Linked DNA regions of Arabidopsis thaliana. The protein of the gene in region 2 interacts with the protein of the main gene of each other region in a pairwise test. Each region holds a gene or a part of one and is shown on either strand. Other genes may lie near its edges.

Region 1 (6,186 bases), on a different chromosome or scaffold from region 2:
TGGTTCTTGTGCTAGAGTTACAAAATCCTAGTTGTACTAGTACCAAACTTTTATGACACTTTTTAGCAGCTTGTTTTCGGTCAAGCTTGAAAACATGATCCATGGAAACATAACATCTATTTTTTTTGTAAATCATAAATTTGTTCATATAAAAGAAGATTTAATTATTAATTGCTAATGACTAAGATATTAAAAATTCAATGTTGAAACGTATCGATATTTGGTATGTTATGAGATATGCATACTCACGACATTGTTAATGTTGCAACGTATCGTAATATGCATATTATGACGGGGCAAGTCCGTCTAGTCCTCTTCACTCAGCGTTAGACACATTCGTTTATTCTATGTTTTGTTTGGGAGAGAATAATGAAGTTTCAATCGCCGATCCATACAAACTATTAAGAGCCAGGAAAGCAAATCTTGGCTCCATGAGATTGGCGAGCTTCTCTGACGCACCTAGATTCTTTTGTAAGAGAGGTTTTTTTCCTCTCTCTATCTTCCATTCACATTTGTTTTAATATTGAAACCGACAGTTTGAACCGTATAGGTTATTCTTAAATATTATCTGTCAAGATTCAAGAACAAAATAGCTCGATAGTAATTTTTGATGATCTATACATTGCAAAACATGGAACAGCAATCGTTATAATAAACAAGTTATTATGAAAATGACTATAAACTTACTCACATATCTATAGTGACTAAAATACTGAAATACAAGATGGCTAAATTGTTAATGTTCGTATAATCTGCTCTTACCGTCTTACGTGCATGCAAACATAATAATAATAATAAAAACCAGACAGAAGACTGATCGTTCAACCCGCGGAGAGATCATATCACTTAATACATAAACAGAAAATAACCAAATCTAGTTTTGTTTAGACGACTTTAGAGAAATGGAAAAAGCAAATGAGAGTAAATACGACCTAGGCAAATGGGAGTACAATAGAAAAGTGAAAAGCCATATATGATATATTGAACCTCAGTATTCAAATAAGACTTATGGTAGAAACAGCTAAGATGATAGCAAGAGAAAGCCCCAACTTCTTCAATACGAAACTATCTTGAAACCGAAAACCTTGTTCGTCAACCATATTTTTCTCTTTCTTCTTCTTCCAAATTTTTCTTCTCACGACAGCATTTTCCATCATGAGTATTGTTCCCCGATTGTTACAATCTCCTCTCGTAGGCTGCCTCGAGTAACCTTCACTGCCTCTGTTTTTGTTAGAGTTACCTCGATGAACACAACGCATCAATAGAAGCATAGGAATGAAGCCAATAACATGCGCGAATTTTCTCCATTGTCCAAGAACTGTTGAGCTTACTCCGTTGATTCGCGGATTTATCTTTTTACGGACATGAACCTCCTCTTTTGATGTCATACTATGACAACACTCATTGCCATCCGTCGGATTTATATAAACTATAACGGTTTGCGATGGTACTATCTGTTGGAAGAATGTGTTGGTTACCTGACGAGTTGTGACAAACAATCCATGGCTAACCTCAACTTTTTTTACCACCTCAAAACATGAGGAACTCGTTGTCTCATGATCGTTCTTGTCCAAAAGATTCTCGTTATGTTCGTTTTCCGAAAACTCGAGTGTGAAAGCATCATCCACATCTCCATTGTTGTTGTTAACGTCCATACCATCTTCAACAACAACAAAACAAAAAAATCAAATCCAGAGATGTCAAGAAAGACAACCAAATGTAGAAATCGCGAAGTGAAAGCTACCTTGATCATGATGTTCTTGTTCTTGATTATCATTATGATATCTCCAAATATCTTCTATAGGAATTACCGTTGAGTGTTCTTCAACGAAGCTCTGAAATTTGTAGAATAAATCAAACATATACTTATATTTGATAACATATATATTAACACATAAAATATTTTGCACTTAACATTGTAAAATATCACTACCTTTTCAAGTTCCTTGCTTGATACTCCTACCCATCTCAAGTTTTCAACAAGTCTTTCTTCCTTAAAATTCACATGGTGTTCTTGCATATCTACAGCCTCCACGTTCGCCTCTAGGCATGAGACTTTTTCTCCGGAATAGTTAAAGTCTCCATGGAAGTTCCCGGAAGCAGAACCACCGTCCCATGAGTCTAGACTGTTTCGTGGCTCATGTGAGGCTTGAGCCAATGCTATAATCTTGCTCAACATTTCATCTGTATCGTTAGCTACATTGTTTCCAAAATATTCATTGTGTGTGAGACCTTCTACGTAAAGTGGTGGTACTGGTGGCAACATACGATTTTGTAGTCTTGCACACTCTAACGCTATATCAACCTATTATATGAGGAGAATTCAATGGATAAGAGATTAGTTTGAAAACAAAAGGTTACATATTCACCAATTTTAATTTTGTATTTCTTTGAGATATATAGTTTAAATTTTACCTTCGAGGGAGGATATGAGATTGTTCCATATTGAGACTGAGGTGGGAAGTTGAAGGACGTGTCATGCGACATAAACTGACTCCATTTATTCTCTATCGTTTCCATATCCGACGACGAATTATTACCGAGTTGAGTTAAGCCTCCTGTCTCAGGTGAGACTGGATACCCCGAGTTTTCGAGGTTTTCATACATTCCATCAGAATACAAACAAGTACTAGAAGTAGATTGTTCACTATTAGTCGTTCCTTTGTTCTTCTTCGTACCATGGTGTTGTTCTTCAATTTTGTTGGCTAAAGCACTCTTCTTAAATACTCGACAAAGTGCATAGGCATCCTGAAATGTTTATACATTGGTTTATATTCAAGTTAAGAATCTTAATCTTTTGATAACCTTTTTAAAAGTTAGCTTACCTGTATACCGGATTTAGAGTCACATTCTTGTTCTTCAAGACGGTACTCGTGCATGACCCAATCGGTACGAGAGCCATGAGGCGCTCTTCCTCGGTAATAAACTAATGTTTTCTTTGTTCCAACCATCCGTGAATGTGAAGTCACTTTACGATCTTTCCCGGTGGCTTTCCAGTAACCTGCTTTGGTCGCCCGGTTTGTTCTTGATCCGTTTGGATATTTCCGGTCTCGAGGACTGAAAAAGAACCATTCTAGGTCTTTACTTGGCAGCAAGGACTTCCCTGCAAGGATCATACAATTAAGATAAATTATATCCAATCTTAATTTGTACACACTACTTAAAGATTCCATAACATGTCATGAGAATCCAAAAGATTAAAAAAGAAAAGACAAATAAAGAGAACATTAGATTGTTTTATATTTAAAACAAAAAGTTGAAGGTGAATGAGAAGCTTCCAAAACCCTAAAGCACATGTGAAATTATTGTGAGTTACTTATTATCTTTTTTTTTCAATCTTCTTACCTTTTTTGACTCGGTCTTCCGAATTTGTCTCACACTAGTCACCACCGCATCTCTCGGTTTTATTACAATCCTTTTAAAGACTAAAGATAAGGGTGGGTCCATTTAAATTTTATTCTAACATAAAGTTGGGATCATAATTATTAAAGATTATTTAGTTGATAAAGCATTCACGTTCGATTCCAAGTTCGATGCGTGACTAGAGATACATAACTTGGTACGTAAAAATGTGAAAATAAAATGGGAATTATATTATGTTAAGGAAAAAGAGGGAAAGAACATCTATCTTCGAAAAAGAAAGGACGTCAAGTGTCTCTTCTCTCAAGGGTTACCCTTTCAAACATTAGTTTCACATTATGTAGTTTTCAGAAAAATGAATCTATTTTTCGTTATTCTTACTAAATTCCAAAAAAAAATGATCTTACACTAAGCATATCAATCAAATGATTATGACATATTAGAAAAGAACCAGATAGAGTCTTCTCCTTCGGTTGCTATGGTATGGTCTCATTTAAAATTTCTTTAACATGAGACACAACATGTTGATGTACTAACGATGCAGAATCATAAATTTATACCTTCGTCCATGGTAAATACTTGCGGATGACCAAAAAAAATGATAGATTTGCATCTTATGAAAAAGAAAAAAAAGAAGCAAAGAGAGAAATATACCAGGTAAATCCCAAGGTTCGCATTTGTAAAGATCAATCTCGGGTATTATCTCTAACTCAATAGTCCGACCATTAATCTTTCGCTTGAGGTAGTATATGACAAGCTCTTCGTCTGTTGGATGAAACCGGAAACCTGGAGGCATTGAAACAGGAGCCATGTCCACTGCCTTATACAAACTTCTTAGCTAGAAACAAATATGAACATTTATAGAACTTAAGAGAGAAAAAGGAGAAGAGGGAGGAGAAGGAGTGAGAATATGAAGAGACAGTTATATAAGAAAGAAGCGTAACATAAGGGTTTGAATTCGATCGATCAGTGATGAAATTGTAAGAAAGACAAAAAGAGATTAAAATTATGTAAAAGAAGCTGGAAAAAGCATTTAGGGTCGGTTGCCAATTGCAAACCCCACAACATATTTTCCACTTTAACTTTTCTTTTTACTTTAATGTGTTTATATATTTCCGTGTAAATTTGATTCTCAGTAACGTTCTTAATAAGCTTTTTCGGTATCATGTTCAATGTTGGAAAACTCACGTTCATTATAATTCATCTAAACATGTTTATTTTTGTTCATCCATGCGTAACGTGTTTATGCATATAGACTAGATATTTGTCAATTTCATTTATCAGTTTTGCTCCTAGTGAAAATATTAAAAGTAACCAATTAAAGACAATTTGATAACTATTTTTGCTTGTAAAAACGGATATATATGTATAAACCTATACTAGTTAATAACTTTTGCTCGTCATATTTTTTGGCATCGACCAACGTAAGGACGTGACATATTTGACATATTTATAAGGAATTTTCAACAACTAGAACTTAATGTAAGGTTTTAAGAAAACATAATAAGTAAACTATTTTTTACGTTGTTAATTTTTGAGATGCTTTCTCACTGTTTTCACACATTTTAAGCCACATTTCATAGTCAATTATTACGTTTTCTATAATATAGAATGAAAGTTTTATATTTGATATACATCATTTTATTTTCTATCTCGTGGTCAATGCCTCAATGGTAATATTGAACCAATCGCATTTTGAAGATAGCATGTTAGATATATTTCTACTTACATTTACATACTATGCAAGTCTTCTTCATTGCTCAAAATCACAAACATTTTTCTTAACTCGCATATATATTTCCTAGATGATCATTAAAATATTTTTATTAATCATATATTGGAATTTTTTTCCCAGTATTTTTTTTTCATTTTTTCTTAAATAAAGAAATTTTTCTGCATTACATATATTCACTAACAAACATCAAAATGAATTAAAATACATTCGAAGAAGTAAACTCAAAAGTTAGTTTCATATTTCAGCATCATACTTGTTATAGACCAAAACCTGCTTCTCTTCCCACCATCTTTGTGCTTCCTTCTCTGAAAACCTCTTCCGACTGCAACCAAAGTTAGAAACCAATCATATAAATACTTAAGCGTACTTCAAACTATATAAACACTTAAAAGCACATTAACATTTTTTTACCTAAACCGTACGCGTTTAAGCGTCTTCTGACCGCAAGGCAAGGCCGTGAAAGTTATATATACACCGGGCTCGTATTGCTCAACTTGTTCTGCTGACGAGTCTTGTGTTTCGTTTTGGAGATACCCTGTTCTTGTGATGGCTGGCGATGCATCTACTAATAGCTTAATGTTGCTGTCACGGTTCGAGGATTTCGTGACACATTTCTCTACATGTTGTTTGGTTTCGTGTTGTGAACGAGCTGTGGTGATTGGTGTGAGGTATGGAATGGACATTGAGTCATCAAAGATTGGTGAGACTTGAGAAGGATTGCATGCAATGCCGGTCTTCAGAGGATTACTCGGTTTCTCTTTATTCGCTTGGAGCTGCAAGCAAAGATACCGTGAAAATGTCGGTCACATAACAAACCAAAAACAGAAAGATTAAAAAAAACTATGTATCTTTTACCTTCGATGCCAAGGCTTTTATTATCTCTTTAGCAGCTTTCGATTTCTCTGCTTCTTCTTTAGCAACTTCCCATGTCTTGTCGAGCTCTTGTTGACATTCTTCCATCTTCTCATTGCCAAGTTCACACTGCCTCTGGAGATTTTTTATCTACATGTTCATAAAAATGTATCTTTAGTGTCTAATGTGTTACTATTGTTACAGGTAAGAAAACAAAAAGAAGTAGTTTAATTACCACG
Region 2 (4,865 bases):
AGGTGAATGAGAGGCTATTTATTTATTTACATGTGTCGGTCCAAAATGCGAAATATGTATATGAAAAATAAAGACTCGTATATGAATTATTTGCCAGCCTATAGAAATTATTTTTCGGTAGAAAATAATTGGGACCATATCAATTATTGGTGTTGGGGTCATTTAGATGATTCGACAATAAAAGGTACGGATGTTTTATTGATACGAGTTGATTACAAAGATCCCCCACCTATAATTATTTGCATTACATTATATAGCTAAGTGTTAATTACTAAGACCTAATTAAGAAAGAAAAAACACCAACTTTTTGTTAAGATCTTTCCATTAATGGATTCTTATTTTAATGAGAAAATTTGTTTGATTCTTTTGATTGGTTAGTGTGACCTAAATAGTCTAAAGAAGCCTATCTAATCACTTTGACATTTATTCATCAGGTATTATCGTGATAAATAAATTATTGGTTAAATACATTACTCAGCAGATATATAGCTGTGAAAACCACAAACGAAATCATTGAATCTATGCTATTTGTACCTTAAATATACTTTGCATAAGAAATTATACTATATCAGGGGTTAAAATAAAATTTACTTTTTTGATAGTCCAAATTATTACAACAGTGAAAATGGTTTTTGCCAAAATTAAAACAACCATTTGAACTCATGTTCGAGTGTATCACCCACATTTTTTTAGATAGCTAATCTCAAACAAGAGAAGAGACAATTCTAACACCTTTAATCTTTCAAATTGTAACAGTTTCTAGAACAAAAATATAGACAATTAATTTAAAGATATCATGTCGCCATATAGTTTTAACAGTACTTAAATTTAATATTTCTCTGACTAACGTGACAAACCAAACTTCCAAAAGCACAGTACAAAGATTCATATGAAACAAAAAGGCAACAAAATTGAAGAATTCAGACACAACTGGTTTGTCTCTTTTTCTTACTAAATCCTCTGTTCAGTTCTTGCATTAAATCAAGACGCGAAACGCCAAAAATAAATAGCATCTCAAAATCCACAATTCATACATATATCCACTAAAAAAATAAGAGATTATTATGATTCTGTTCAAAAATCCATCATCCGGTTCGATTTCAACGAAACAATCACTATCACATAAAGCTTTTTGTGTATCAATAAATGCAGAGAAGGAAGGAACAATATGAATTCGAAACATTTATTAGAAATAAACGTGGTTAACAGCTTACGCAAATGCTTCACCACAATTGTTGTAACACATTACACAATTAGCAACAACAACAACAAACCATATTAAAACATTTAAATATATATCTGAAATTTTAATCGACGGCTCTGTTTCACCGGAAAAAAAAAACAGACACAAAAAAAAAAAGAGGAAAAGAAACCACCGTGGTTTCTGAAATTTTCCCTTTTTTCCTAAAAGTAATCTTGGATCCGATAAGAAATCGATCTCCCTCCAAAAAAACAACAGATTCTTAAACCCTAATTTAACCCTAATCAAAAACAACCGTCTTTAACTTACTTAAAGCTAACGAAAACTCTCAAATCACTTGCAGAGATTCTGAAACCAAATCAATCTCTAACAACACTAAAACACACACATAGAGAAACAATGACAACAATAGAGAAGAGAAGATAATAAATATATATACCAAATTTTGCCCTCAAACCTAAAAGGGCTTAAACCATTAACGTGGATCTTCCTCTCTTCGATCCGACCCGGGAGATCCACCGGATAAAGAAGCAAGCAAATTAAGATGACCCGGAAGATAATTCCCAACTCTAGCAGCAGAAGCTTCACCCATTGCAGCTTGTTGTTGCTGTTGCTGATGAACAAACAATGGTTGCTGATGATGATGTTGTTGTTGTAAAAACATCTCTTGTGGAGCTCCAGCAAAACTCCAAACTTGTCCAAAATCCGGCCTCGCCGGAACAGCCCAAAACCCAGCTGGTGTTGTCGTAAAGGTCTCATCTTTACCAACAGAACTATGATTATGACTATTATTACTATCCTCATCAGCTCTAACACGTTTCCCAAGTATAAACGGTGACGTACCACCAAGTAAAGAAGTGGGTTTATGATCTAAAGAAGTAGAATTGGTGGCTCCACGGATAGAGACAGAAGCAGTTGAGAAACTCGCTGGAGTTGTACCAGTTCCTGTTGCAGCTATAATAGAAGGCTCTGCTTGACGAAGTAACCATTCAATTGTTTGGCCATCTGACTTATGACCAAGCTCTCTCGTTAGCTGAAAAACACGAGCAGCACATATAATCGGCATACGGATTCTTCTCCCTCTTCCATCGACTTTGCTATGTCGATCTTTCGCCGGTGGTTTCTTCACAACGACTGATGGTTGTTGTTCGATTAAAGCTCCGTTTGATGAGATCATAAGACCATCGTTGTTATTGTTGTTGTTGTTGTTGTTGTTGTTAATAGACATGGTTTTCGATCTGGGTTTAGTGTTTTCTTTTTCTCACTTGGCTTGTGATTACTCTCTCTGTGAGAGAAGAGAAGAGAAGAAGCTAATGATTGAGAAGGAGGGAGCTGGTGGAGACAGGAAGGAGAAGCACATGGGTGTGGTGGGGTCCTTTTCACACAGCTCACCATCTCTGGTTTTTTTTCTCTTTTTTTTTTTGCTTTTTTGAGAGGACATTAGTTTTGTCCCGACGCGGTGGAGCTCACGCGCGTTATTACTCCGGTGAAGAAGAAGGTCGCGTGGGGACCAAACTCCGGCAGGAGAATTTAACACTAGGTAGGTGGGTCACTCCTCCGGCTGCTACGTGCATTTAAAGAGACATTTATCCTTTGCCACGTCATTATATACATTATTACTAACTTACTATAAGCTTGAATTTGGAAATTAACACGAAGATACTAATCTTATTTAAAATACATGAAACTAAATGTATTGAAGTTGGTCTCTCTGTCTAAAAAAGTTTTTTTTTGTTTTTAAATTTTTGGGACCAACCTAATGTGGTTATTAGATTTGGGCTAATGTGAACATTTGTTTTGTGATTACGTGAAAATTAATCTTTTTTAGAAAGCTGTTTCCATAAAACAATCGAAAAGATTGAAAAGGAGACAAATCAGTGAGGTAATTGATTGGTAAGTAGACTTTGACATCAAAACTTAATTGAGTTATAAAACAATCAAAATTTAATACTAGTGTTTGTTCTTTTTATTTATTTGTTTATAGTATATTGGTAATAATATTTGCCACCAGTTACTCTGCCGTAAATGCCAGTAGCCCAGTATCACGTGTTTTACGTGAAATGGCAAAAATCGAAACCCTTAAAAATTATTCAGAATTCTTTTGTCGACATCACAAAAGAAAGTTACCTGTAATTAGTTGAGTTTTGCCAACTAAAATACCCAAAGACATTTAAATTAATAGTACTATAAATTAAAAATATTATGGTTTTAATGTTATTAATTTATAGAGGTTTTACTGTATATAATATAAATATATATATAAAATAAATGTGTGTATAAAATAAAAAGAACGAACATTAATTTTAATAACTCCCATTTTGAGACTGACATTGAAAATAAGTGGATTAGTCCACTTGTCAGATACGCAAGATTTTCTTTATGTCGTTCGTCTCATCGCAACGAGATTTTCTTCACATATCGTGACAACAATTTATTTTATGACTTATGCTGAGTTATGCACCACCAAACGCTAATATTTGTTTTAATTATTTTCGTACTCGTACCCCCTAATTAAATGGATTTTCTTATCGTTAATTTTTAACATTCTTGTGAGCTAATGCAAAAAAATAAATGCAATCATGAGCGATATGGCATCATGTCGGCAGTTTTATAAAAAGATTGTGTACCTTGAACTTTTGATCCTTTTTTTTTTTAATCTAAAAGATTTCGGAATCCATTTTTTGTGTAACTATAAACTTGAAACCTAATCTGATACAAAATGTTGTGGAGTGAATAATAATACTAATTTATAAATCATGTGAATAGTATTCACTTGTAACAAAACAAAACAAAAAAGTAATTAATATTGGATAATGGATGATAACAATTGTTTGTTCGAGATTGACTTGATGGTTGATTTAGTTATGTTACAAACAAAAATAAATAACCAATTTAATTTCACTTCTAAGTTTTGGAAACAACTGATAAGATATGATATGGTAGATAAATTCAATAATTTAAAAATCGCTATCCAAATGAGAATGGGTCAAATTTGGGTTATTTTAAGTACAAATAGAGAGAGAGAGTTTTTTTTAATAATCTTGTGAAGTGTTAGAGAATTTTTAGTAGCCGGAAAATTATAATAATTTTAAATATTTTAACAATTCAAACGGATAATTTGGATACTCTTAATAATTACTCGACATGTATCTTTATCGTAAAAAATGATCATTTTAGTCTAAACAAAAAATTTATATTATTTTTAGTTCAAGAAGTTTCGAGTAATTTTAAGTACGGTCATAAATCCTCAAATTATGTACACTTGTTTATTATATCCTCATTTTTATTTTCTCACATTGGTCAGTATAAGCATTTTCTCAATAATAAGTTTTTAATCCTAACATATCCTTAAATCCCAAATAATCATCAACTAAAAATAAGCATCATCATCAACATCATCACCATCATCATTATTACTATATTTCCCCCAATATCTATGCTCTTTCCACACTTTCCCCATCTCCTCAATCGGAACACCTTTTGTCTCCGGCAACAAGAAGTAAATGAAAATGGTCATGATCAAGACCATACCCGCGAAGAAATAGAACAAACCAAACTTCATATGGCAAAGCATCGTCAAGAAGAATTGTCCAATGAAGAATGTAAAGAACATGTTCACCGAAACGTTTAACGATTGTCCTGCTGATCTAATTTCCAATGGACA
Region 3 (5,082 bases), on a different chromosome or scaffold from region 2:
TTCCATTCAGACAAAAATAACCCTTGTAATGTATTCAACTGGGCAGACCTATTCAGATGAAGAAACGTAATAAAAAGGTTGCTTCTGATAGATTGGTCAAATTTGATTTCGAGTAATCTAATTAAAGTTTCTACAATTAAGTTCATGATCATTTGATCATTTTGATTTCAGATTGACACAAACCTTGGAAAAAAGGAGAGGAACGAAGCCAGAGGAGGAATTAGGAAGCGTTAGTTGATTTAAGAGGGGAATTGAAGAAGCTTACCTGCGACTGCGAGTGAAGGCGGCGAAGAGCGAGGAAGAACAACAAACGCCGTGAAGCTAGCTTTTTTGGGTTTGGGCCAAACGAGATTAGTTTCTAACAGATGTTTTTCCGGACCCGGACCGGTAATACCCACGATCCGCTTAATTATTTGGTCCCTGTCTAGCTCTAAAATCCCGGTGCAAACGAACCGGCAAAACCAACGACCTAGCGGTTCGGTATTTTGTTTCTGAAATCTGAACCCTCCGATTTGTTCTTCTTTTTTTTTTTCTTTTTATAATGCAAACAATTGATGAAAAAATATATTATGGTCCGAATGGTAACCTCGGTTTTTAATATGTGAGAAAAGTGGTATAACATTGCAGTACAGTTCAATTACGGTACGTGCGAGAAAAATATATTTGCGGGACAAATATGGTTTGTACAAAATAAGCGGTACAGAATAATGTTTGATTGATGAAAAAATTATTTGCGGTGCGGATTATAAATTATATATATATATATATATTAATAATTAATTATTATTTTTGTGTTAATAAATAAGCAATAACATATATTTATAAATTATTAATACATAAATAAATCAAAATATACATTTTTAAAGTTTAACATACATATTATTAAATTCGTTGAATAGTTTCATCATAAAAAATTGAAAAAAAAATCATAATTTTTTACTAGTAAATTGATTATAGAACTTATATAAGCTTATAGTGGATAATAATTGTCAAAATTTCTATAAGTATTATGATATTTCTATTTCTTGTAATTACATTTTCTTAGATTTTAATTAAATAAAAAGAATAAAACTATAATTATTGCATATATATATATATATATATATATATATATATATATATATTAAAGTCCATTAGTTAAGCAAATTGTTATGTCCTACGTATATTTTTTTCTTTTATGCACTAGGTAACTAGTGATTCTGATGCACACATATACTCTCTTTTTTTGTACATATATTTAAATGGGGAAGCTAATGGAAAAAAAATTAAAATTTGCTTAAGTAATGGAGTAATAAACGAGGGATGTGTGTATGGAAGAGGCAAAGGCTGAGAAACTTTTGGTTGGGACGTAGGACATAACAATTTGCTTAAGTAATGGAGTAATGAACGATTTTTTTGTTGGAATGCGGTTTTGAGCAAAAACACTAGGTAAATGATTTTTCTTCTTTTGAAAAGCATTCCAGTGTATTGTTTTTAGGACAAAATTGCAAACTTTTTTCTTTTTTTTTTCGAAAAACGCAAATTTGTTAAAAGTATTGATTGGTAACTGTATTGTAGTTTTAATAAAAAAACAAGAAAACGCCTTTTGTATGTTTCTTAATCACAGTGTATGAATGGTGACATAGACCGCCCCCAAAACCGTACCGTAACTGTAACAGTATAAAAAATCTCTATATATACATATATATCTATGTATTTTTGTTATTATTTGAACCGTCCCATACTTTTTCCGTATCACAAAATACAGTCATCATTCGAACCGCAAAACTATATATAGTATTTCGGTTTTTGAATTCAAAATGAAGGAGAAGAGGAATAGGCAGATTAATATAATTTCGTTATTTCTTTTTAATTTCCTATCTTCAATTTTTCCTCACCCACTGAATTTGACTATGCCATTAAAAATGTGTATACTAATCATCATACCGTCAATAAATAGAGTTTGTGGGAAACACACGACAGACACGTCATCAGCTCTCGACGGCGCGTTTCCATGCCTTTATTATCCTTCACGTTGACCCCACATGCCCCTGTTTTTTTTTTTTGGTGTTCTACGGTATATTTTTGTGAAAATGTTACTTTTCATCTACTCGATAAAATTCTTAAACAGATAGTACAACTTTTTACCCGATTAATCTGTAGAAAATACAATGTTATTTACACTCAACAAACATTTCCATTAATAGAACTTTACCCGATTTAAACCACTCTTCCACTCGATTAATATTATTATTTTATTAATTAAAGATACGATGACGTGTCCATGAGAGATGAGCTTTAGTGGCACGCAACGTAAGAGAAGAAGACAAAAGTAAAAAAGAGAAAGGCACATGTCGAACTCACGTGTCCACTTAAACGCACCACCTTCTTCTGTGCTCTCCACGCGCCTCCACACGCCCTCCTCAACTTCGGACCTTCTTCCTCCAAAAAAAACAATTTCACTCTTCATTTTCTCAGATTCTCTTATTATTTCTTCTACTCGTTTCGAATCCTAATCGTCTACAGTTTCCGACGAGATTCTCACCGGAGAAAGAAAGGTAGTTCTTTTCTCTGAATCTGTTGTGTTGAGAACTTAGCCGTAATTTTTGAGAATTATTCTTCACTATTTGATTTGACAAGAATATGGGTAATAAAGACAGAATCTAAAACACTTGCTTCAGTTTTTGAGGAATCAAAAATCACACGAAAGTTTTTTTTTTTTTTCTGCTCCTATGTTTCTTGGTGCGTTTGTGTTTATTTGACATTAGGAGTGATTGATTGATTATAAAGATGAATGATTTGTTAGATTCATTAAGATCACTGTTCTTTTTGATTAATCATCTTATGTCTAAATTTTAGGTGACTTGACAGAGAATCTTGTTCTGTAATAAAAGCAAAGATGGTATCGAAAACTCCTTCTACATCGTCTGATGAAGCAAATGCTACTGCAGATGAAAGGTGATTCTTAAGGAGACAATTCTTGGAAATAGATTATGGAACCTTTTATTTTTATTTATGGGGATTGATTATGTTTGGTGTATAAAACAGATGTAGAAAAGGTAAAGTACCGAAAAGGATCAACAAGGCCGTTCGTGAGAGGCTTAAGCGTGAGCATTTGAATGAGCTTTTCATTGAATTAGCCGATACTCTTGGTAAATTTCTCATCTTTCCGTAGATTTGAATGAACAATTGCTCGAGTGTGTTGTGATATTTTGAATGTGATTGTGATATCTAACTGTGAACATGTTTCTTTGTTGCAGAACTGAATCAACAGAACAGTGGGAAAGCTTCTATACTATGCGAAGCTACTCGATTCTTGAAGGACGTGTTTGGTCAAATTGAGTCTCTTAGAAAGGAGCATGCTTCTCTCCTATCTGAATCTAGCTATGTAAGTCAATTTCTATATGCACATTGATTGTGTTTATGTATTCTGTGACGTGAATCAACAACTAAGACGAATGTTGCTTCAAGAAGTTACTTCATCTTTGTATTTTTCTAAATGGTCTTGTTGATGGAAACTGGTGTTGTGTGTAGGTAACCACAGAGAAGAATGAGCTCAAGGAAGAAACATCAGTGCTTGAGACTGAGATTTCGAAACTACAAAACGAGATTGAAGCTAGAGCGAATCAGTCGAAACCTGACTTGAACACCTCTCCTGCACCCGAGTACCATCATCATCATTATCAACAACAACATCCTGAACGTGTATCTCAGTTCCCAGGACTTCCCATTTTCCAAGGCCCCGGCTTTCAACAATCTGCTACAACTCTTCATCCTCCTGCAACAGTTCTTGTCCTTCCAATACAACCTGATCCCCAGACACAAGATATCTCAGAAATGACTCAAGCGCAGCAGCCTTTGATGTTTAATAGCTCAAATGTGAGTAAGCCATGTCCAAGGTATGCTAGCGCGGCTGACTCGTGGTCTTCTCGGCTACTTGGAGAGCGGCTGAAAGCCAGTGAATGAGGTCTTGAACGGCTCCACATGGAGTAGCAACGCAAGTTATAAGACATGGCAACTTATGAAGGACTCTGGTTTTGTATTTTTTAATACATCGTTCTGATGTCCTTGTGGGTTTGGCCTTGGCTATTTCTTGTTTTTGATGGTTGTTCATAGGATCAGGAAGTTATGGCCTTGATGGGTCGTTTGAGATAAATAAGTAAATTAGCTCTAACCATTGTCATTTTCTTTTGTCTTAAGATTCTAAAAACACAGAAACAGAACAAAAAAAATCAAATTTCTTTTTAAGAAAAAAGCTTTCTAATGGAAACTAAAATGTGAAATTGGGTTTAAAAGACAAAACCGGTTAATAGGTTTTGGTTTGGATTGGATAAAGAATATGATGGTATTTTGGTAAAATAGGCACTTGAGAAAAAGAGAAGTGAGAGGAGCCATCTTATCTTTGCTATCGAGTGGGTAAGAAGAATCAGAAAACAGAAAATGGCGAATTCACTATGCTTCTTCTCTTCTCCTCCTACCTTTTGCTTCCAATCTCCAAGCAAAAACCCTAAACCTTCTCACTTCTTCTCAACTAATGATAACACCTCTTCCTTGGTACAGAAGAGAGAACTGCTTCAGACTTCAAGATCCCAAAGTTTTGAAGTTAAGGTTAGAATTTTCCCAAACTCTTCTCTTCTCTATAAAATTTGCTTACTTCATTGACCATTTCGTTAATGCAAAATCTCATTCTGTGGTATCAATAGGCCGCAAACAATAATCCTCAGGGCACTAAACCAAACAGTTTAGTTTGTGCAAATTGTGAAGGGGAAGGTAAGTTCTTACCTGTTTTATAATTCTCTTAGTTTTCTACTCCTGAATTGGTTAGTAATTTGATAAAGATGTTTTTTCAAAGGTTGTGTGGCATGTTCTCAATGCAAAGGAGGTGGTGTGAATTTGATTGATCATTTCAATGGTCAGTTTAAAGCTGGTGCACTCTGTTGGCTTTGCAGGTTTGCTACATCTTATATTCTTTCTTCTAATTCTTCCTTCTCCACAACACATACATAAACTCATTACTTAATATATATTTTTACATTTCTTGTGGGCAGAGGTAAAAAGGAGGTGTTGTGTGGGGACTGCAATGGAGCTGGTTTCATTGGTGGG
Region 4 (4,955 bases), on a different chromosome or scaffold from region 2:
TAACAATATGGAATGATACAACAAAGGCACATGTGAGTAGACATAAAACAACAAAAACTTTCCATAGTTTTGATTCTCTGGAAATATGAAAAAATTCCCAAATATATAATACATATAGCCAAATCTTATTCAAGGCCCAAGATGATAAGAAACGATTATATGCGAATAACAGATACTAGCTTGTTGTCTATCGAGGAGATCAAGACATATCTCTATGTCAAGTACATCTGTCTTCTTGTCGTTCTCTCCAATTTTCTCTTAAAGAAAGTGTCTTCTTTTTTTCTTAATTAACCTCGCAACTAAATTAAAATAAACTTTGGTTGGTTATCAGAACCGATTTGTTTTTTTTTTTTTGTTTTTTTAATACAAACAAAACATTCAGCAGACCTGATTTTTAAATTAACGGACCTTTCATATAATTTCAACTACAAATCTAAAACATAGAATAATTTATAAAACGATTTTGAAGAAGGCAAAAACTCGTCTTTATAAAAATAATAATGCTATAGCTCAGAAAGCTATGACTCGGAAGTCTTCATCTTCTTTTCTTGTATTCACTGATTTGACGTTAACGTATAAATTTTCAGACAATATCTCCATGTTAAAACAAAAATATTGCTTAGGATACTTGTTATGTGAGAGTAAACTACATATACATTGCAACGTCTAGACAAGCTTATAGACAACGTGCAATGTCTTGTAACTCTCAAAACCATATATATAGACTCTCACTAATGTATTTCTTGGTTACTATACTATTTAGAAGAAAACAAATTTCTGCTCCCAACTCGATCACAAATCATATATATTTTAAAATATGCATTTAACGATCTCGACAAAATTATGTGAATTTTTTTTTAATAAAAAACATTAAAAAATGTCTCTATTATTTCCTTAATTATGGGTCTTGTCACAAGTATGCAACGAATGATAAACAACAATACAGAACCGTCTTCCATCAACAAGTACCACAAGATCTCACTTAGAATATACGTATATAAGTTGTTATACATATTCACAGAGTGAGATCAAGGGGACTTGCCAAGACCGAAATCTTTCTCTTTTTGTGATCAGTTTGATCTTCTTTCCTAATGGTTCGGTCGAGTTTTGATGAACCTGAAGATGATAACGAAAGAGACAAACTCTTGATATCTTGATGATCATCATGTTCTTTTACTTCATCTTCTAACAAGCATTCTCCAAGATTGTCGTGTGTCCGAGGTACCTTAAGGGACAAGCTTAGATCCAAATCTTGGTCTGACTTATTGCAGTCATCAGAAAATAATAACCTCTTCCTCTTCAAAACATTCTCTGATCCTTCTGCCACTCCAGCATTCTCCCATTGATAAGAATTTAGCGTTGTAGCAATATGATCTTGTGGTATTGTTGCGGTGGAGGACTTAAGATTGGAAGAGAGGCTCTGTCCCCATGATTTGTTAAACGTTTTCATACCTTCAAGAAAACTTCTATGAATTCTTGGAACAGCTCCAGCTACTCCATTGTTATCATGAACCCCTTCATGAGAATTGATTCGAAATGAAATAGTTTTGTTCTTATCGTTAAGAATACTATTGCTAACTCCGTGATATCTCTCACCAGGCTGTGAGCTAAACATTGTTTGTCTTGTTCTTGTATTTTCTCGTGTCGTTAATCCTCTCCAAGGGCTACGGTAGATCTGTCGTCTGTGGTCAGTCCACGAACCACCACCATATCTATTGAATACATTCCAAGTTACACACACGTAATTTTAACTTATAGTTTAAAGATAGCTAGCTGAAGAGTTTGTAAATACCCTAAACTAGAAGAAGGCCTTTGATCAAAACTTTGTAGCATTGGAAGTTGGCTAAGGTTGTAAGTGTAACCAGCTCCGTGTTCAAACGAAAATCCTTGATCTCCTGTAGTTATAAGAAAAGATAAAACACGAGAGACAAGAATTAGTCAATTTCTCGTCGAATTCAATTATAAGATTTATAGAAGCCCTAACTTAAATCAGAAGGTAGAAGAAAGCTAAGTAAACTACCTTCATTAGGCTCATCGGTCTTCTTGCTTCTGTACATCTAAGAAGAAAAAAAAATGAAGTATGATTTCAGATGAAGATCTCAATGATGTATATAGATATATACTCTATGTGTATGTGGATATTTGCAAAACCTGAAGATGACTCTTAACATGGGCAATACTTAGCCCCTTGACGTTCATCAATTGGAGAACAAGCTTCGGTGTTGCTCCTGTTTCAACAAAATCATTGAAAGAGACCCCAAATAAATATCAACAAGAAAACCCTAGAAATTTAGAGATCTTCACATATGCAATGATCTTGATATTGATTCATATATATAATTGAAACTCAACTATCTGGGCCACCCAATCTCTCCACAGCTTGAAGAAAGCAAATATGGAGCTCCGGCGTCCATCGCAGCCTCGGAGTCTTTGAGCGGTTGTACGGCCTCACGGATCCTCCATTCTTCTTGTTCTGATCATGGTGGTGACTCCCACTCTCTTCCTCATAGCTATTGCTAGATGGGCTCTGATCTCCAGATCTCTCTTCTTCATCCTCTTCGCCTTCTTCATCATCCTCTTCATCTTTATCTTCTTCATTCTTGGTGGTTGCTTTGATGTTGTTAGATAGACAAGTCTTGGAGTTTTCAGAATTTTGGCTGCTTGATCTCATCTTGGTCTCTAGCTATTTGGCTGTTTTTGTGTTGTTTGTTTTGAGGTTGAACCTTTTTGGTCTATCTTGGAGTTCTCTGGACAAAGATCAAACAAAGATCACACACTCATACATATGTGTTAGGAATTTAAGGTGAAGACTTTTGATGGTCTATGTGTATGACTTTTTGGATGCTTGTATCCATCATTCCTTTTTCTCCCCCTCTCTCTCCAACTCAACATATATGTTGAAATATGTATATGATGGCAACGGATATTCTAAATTCTATTTAATATATAGCTTTTTATTACACCAATGGTTTTTTCTACAGTTATATACATCTTAGGGAAAGATAGATCTAGAATTACACCTCATGACAAAAATGGTACTTTTAATTTCATTAAACATTAGTAACTTCAGTCATAAGATGTATTTTAAAATGAGTTAATAACTATTAAGTCAATTAGTACAATTAATCTTTGAATCTCGTTGTGATAGGGAGTGAAAAGAAATTCCAAGGAGTAGATTGAATTTATCTAAATAATGATCATTTTCATGGTAAAAGATCAAACGTTTTCATGATATCAACCCGTACGTATACCAATTTTATGACATAAATCAGGGTTCAATATGACATGTACATTAACAATTTTTTTTGTTCTTTCTTTCAAAACCAACTGAAGATCTATGTTTTTCATTGGATTTGGTACGTGTTTTTGTTTCATTCGAACTAGCTTTTAGCAATATAGGAAGAAGGCAACATTAATGAGGCATACACATTAATTAGATAAATGAAACTTCTTCCATCGTTACAACTCATGAATTAAATTGACTAGAAAAGCAAAGCATAAAAGGGGATGGTTAGGGGGATGGGCTCGTGACTTCAAAGCCAAAGCTGTGAAACCAGAAAAAGAAGAAACCCAAAAGCATAATTAGATAGATAGACAGAGAAAGAGCATAGAGAGAGGAATCAGACAGAAGTTAAAAGGTGCTTGGCTGGGCTGTCTTCACTGAAAGACACGAGAAGAAAATATTACTACTTGTTTCTGTCACCAACGACAATCACGGGTTTGTCTCCATCTCCACTACTCTTACGATTTCATATTATCTATAATTATCTACACATGCGCCTCTCTCTATATACATGCAAATAGTACATCTCTTTTTCTATATATAACCCAAATAAATGTTAAAAAATAAATAAATAAATTAGGATACAGAATATAACAACTGAAGCTAATAAGTCACATGATTATCACAGAATTGAACTTGAGAATTATATGAGTTTCTGTACGTACACACATGCAACCAATTGATTTAGTTTGGAATTCAGTTCAGGGGTGATTAGTTCGTTCTATATAGCGTACGTACTATTAAAATTACTAGTAAAATACTAAACAAAAGATATGTTCTAATTAAGTATGTCATACTTTTATTTTTGTGAAATTAAGGAAGTAGGCAAAGTAGGGGATGTCATACTTTTTTAAGAACTTAGAAAGGAGAAAATTAAAATGTATAATATATGATTTACTTATTGTCATGAACTTTGCGCCTCCAGGAGAGGGTCAAGGCAGAATTGTATCTATCTGTATTCCTCTAACATCAGCAGGCTAATTTTTCTTGTAAGCGACATGCAAGTACTGTGTCAAATTTTGTGAATGGTGACCAGATAATGTGAAAGTCATCGGTCAAATAAATTAGGTATATGACATTTCTTTCTGTTTTTTTTTTTTTTTTCAAAATCGTTTTTGGAAGCCCAATGTCCAGCCGTAATCGTATATTTTCGTCGTCGTTATTAATTGGTAGGAAGAATTAAAGCTGTCGTATATTTTGGTTTTAAAAGTGTAGCAATAATAATTTACGTTAGAATGACGTTCTTCATATCTACCCTATAATCCTACTTCCATGCTCAGACAACCCATGATCAATTATACGACCCAACAGATACCAAATGCTAAGTATTAATATCAATCACGGTATTGACAAAAAAAGGGTATATTAACTACGGTATTGATTTACTAAGTTATATAATCCGTTGAAATTGACCACGACACTATGCTAATTCATTTTCCTTGACACATATATGAAATGAACCAATCAAATTCTAAGCGTGGACCAAAGTCTTCGTGTTTTATGTCTCTCAACTTTTAAAATTTCGGTACCTATAAGGCTATAACTTTTTTATAATATAGGGTTTGAACTGAAGATCTGAGATTGTAGAAACTATATACGCAGTGTACACTAGACCGAAGAAAATTCAAGTAATATATTATATAATTGTACTTCAAATAATGTGCAACCATAT

What was found.
Region 1: the proteins of AT5G23280 (region 2) and NAC028 interact in a two-hybrid assay, tested with the Arabidopsis thaliana proteins (one large-scale study listed by BioGRID).
Region 3: the proteins of AT5G23280 (region 2) and PYE interact in a two-hybrid assay, tested with the Arabidopsis thaliana proteins (one large-scale study listed by BioGRID).
Region 4: the proteins of AT5G23280 (region 2) and AT2G40260 interact in a two-hybrid assay, tested with the Arabidopsis thaliana proteins (one large-scale study listed by BioGRID).

What each region holds. Positions count from the first base shown.
Region 1 is NC_003070.9:24,519,938-24,526,123, forward strand, and holds NAC028 (NAC domain containing protein 28), read right to left. Parts: upstream 4,324-6,186; 5' UTR 4,172-4,323; coding exon 4,015-4,171; intron 3,104-4,014; coding exon 2,826-3,103; intron 2,749-2,825; coding exon 2,416-2,748; intron 2,306-2,415; coding exon 1,934-2,305; intron 1,836-1,933; coding exon 1,745-1,835; intron 1,661-1,744; coding exon 996-1,660; 3' UTR 731-995; downstream 1-730. Other genes in the region: AT1G65920 (Regulator of chromosome condensation (RCC1) family with FYVE zinc finger domain-containing protein), read right to left, coding at 5,330-5,417, 5,507-5,868, 5,951-6,097, 6,183-6,186.
Region 2 is NC_003076.8:7,840,581-7,845,445, reverse strand, and holds AT5G23280 (TCP family transcription factor), read right to left. Parts: upstream 2,840-4,865; 5' UTR 2,430-2,839; coding exon 1,677-2,429; 3' UTR 797-1,676; downstream 1-796. Other genes in the region: STP11 (sugar transporter 11), read right to left, coding at 4,572-4,865.
Region 3 is NC_003074.8:17,565,157-17,570,238, forward strand, and holds PYE (basic helix-loop-helix (bHLH) DNA-binding superfamily protein), read left to right. Parts: upstream 1-1,969; 5' UTR 1,970-2,046; exon of another isoform or gene 2,047-2,048; intron 2,049-2,319; exon of another isoform or gene 2,320-2,537; intron 2,538-2,689; 5' UTR 2,690-2,721; intron 2,722-2,838; 5' UTR 2,839-2,878; coding exon 2,879-2,937; intron 2,938-3,027; coding exon 3,028-3,131; intron 3,132-3,239; coding exon 3,240-3,367; intron 3,368-3,513; coding exon 3,514-3,945; 3' UTR 3,946-4,229; downstream 4,230-5,082. Other genes in the region: AT3G47630 (translocator assembly/maintenance protein), read right to left, coding at 1-6; AT3G47650 (DnaJ/Hsp40 cysteine-rich domain superfamily protein), read left to right, coding at 4,420-4,587, 4,683-4,749, 4,832-4,928, 5,028-5,082.
Region 4 is NC_003071.7:16,815,803-16,820,757, forward strand, and holds AT2G40260 (Homeodomain-like superfamily protein), read right to left. Parts: upstream 2,929-4,955; 5' UTR 2,672-2,928; coding exon 2,353-2,671; exon of another isoform or gene 2,229-2,352; coding exon 2,152-2,228; intron 2,058-2,151; coding exon 2,021-2,057; intron 1,896-2,020; coding exon 1,793-1,895; intron 1,713-1,792; coding exon 1,016-1,712; 3' UTR 728-1,015; downstream 1-727.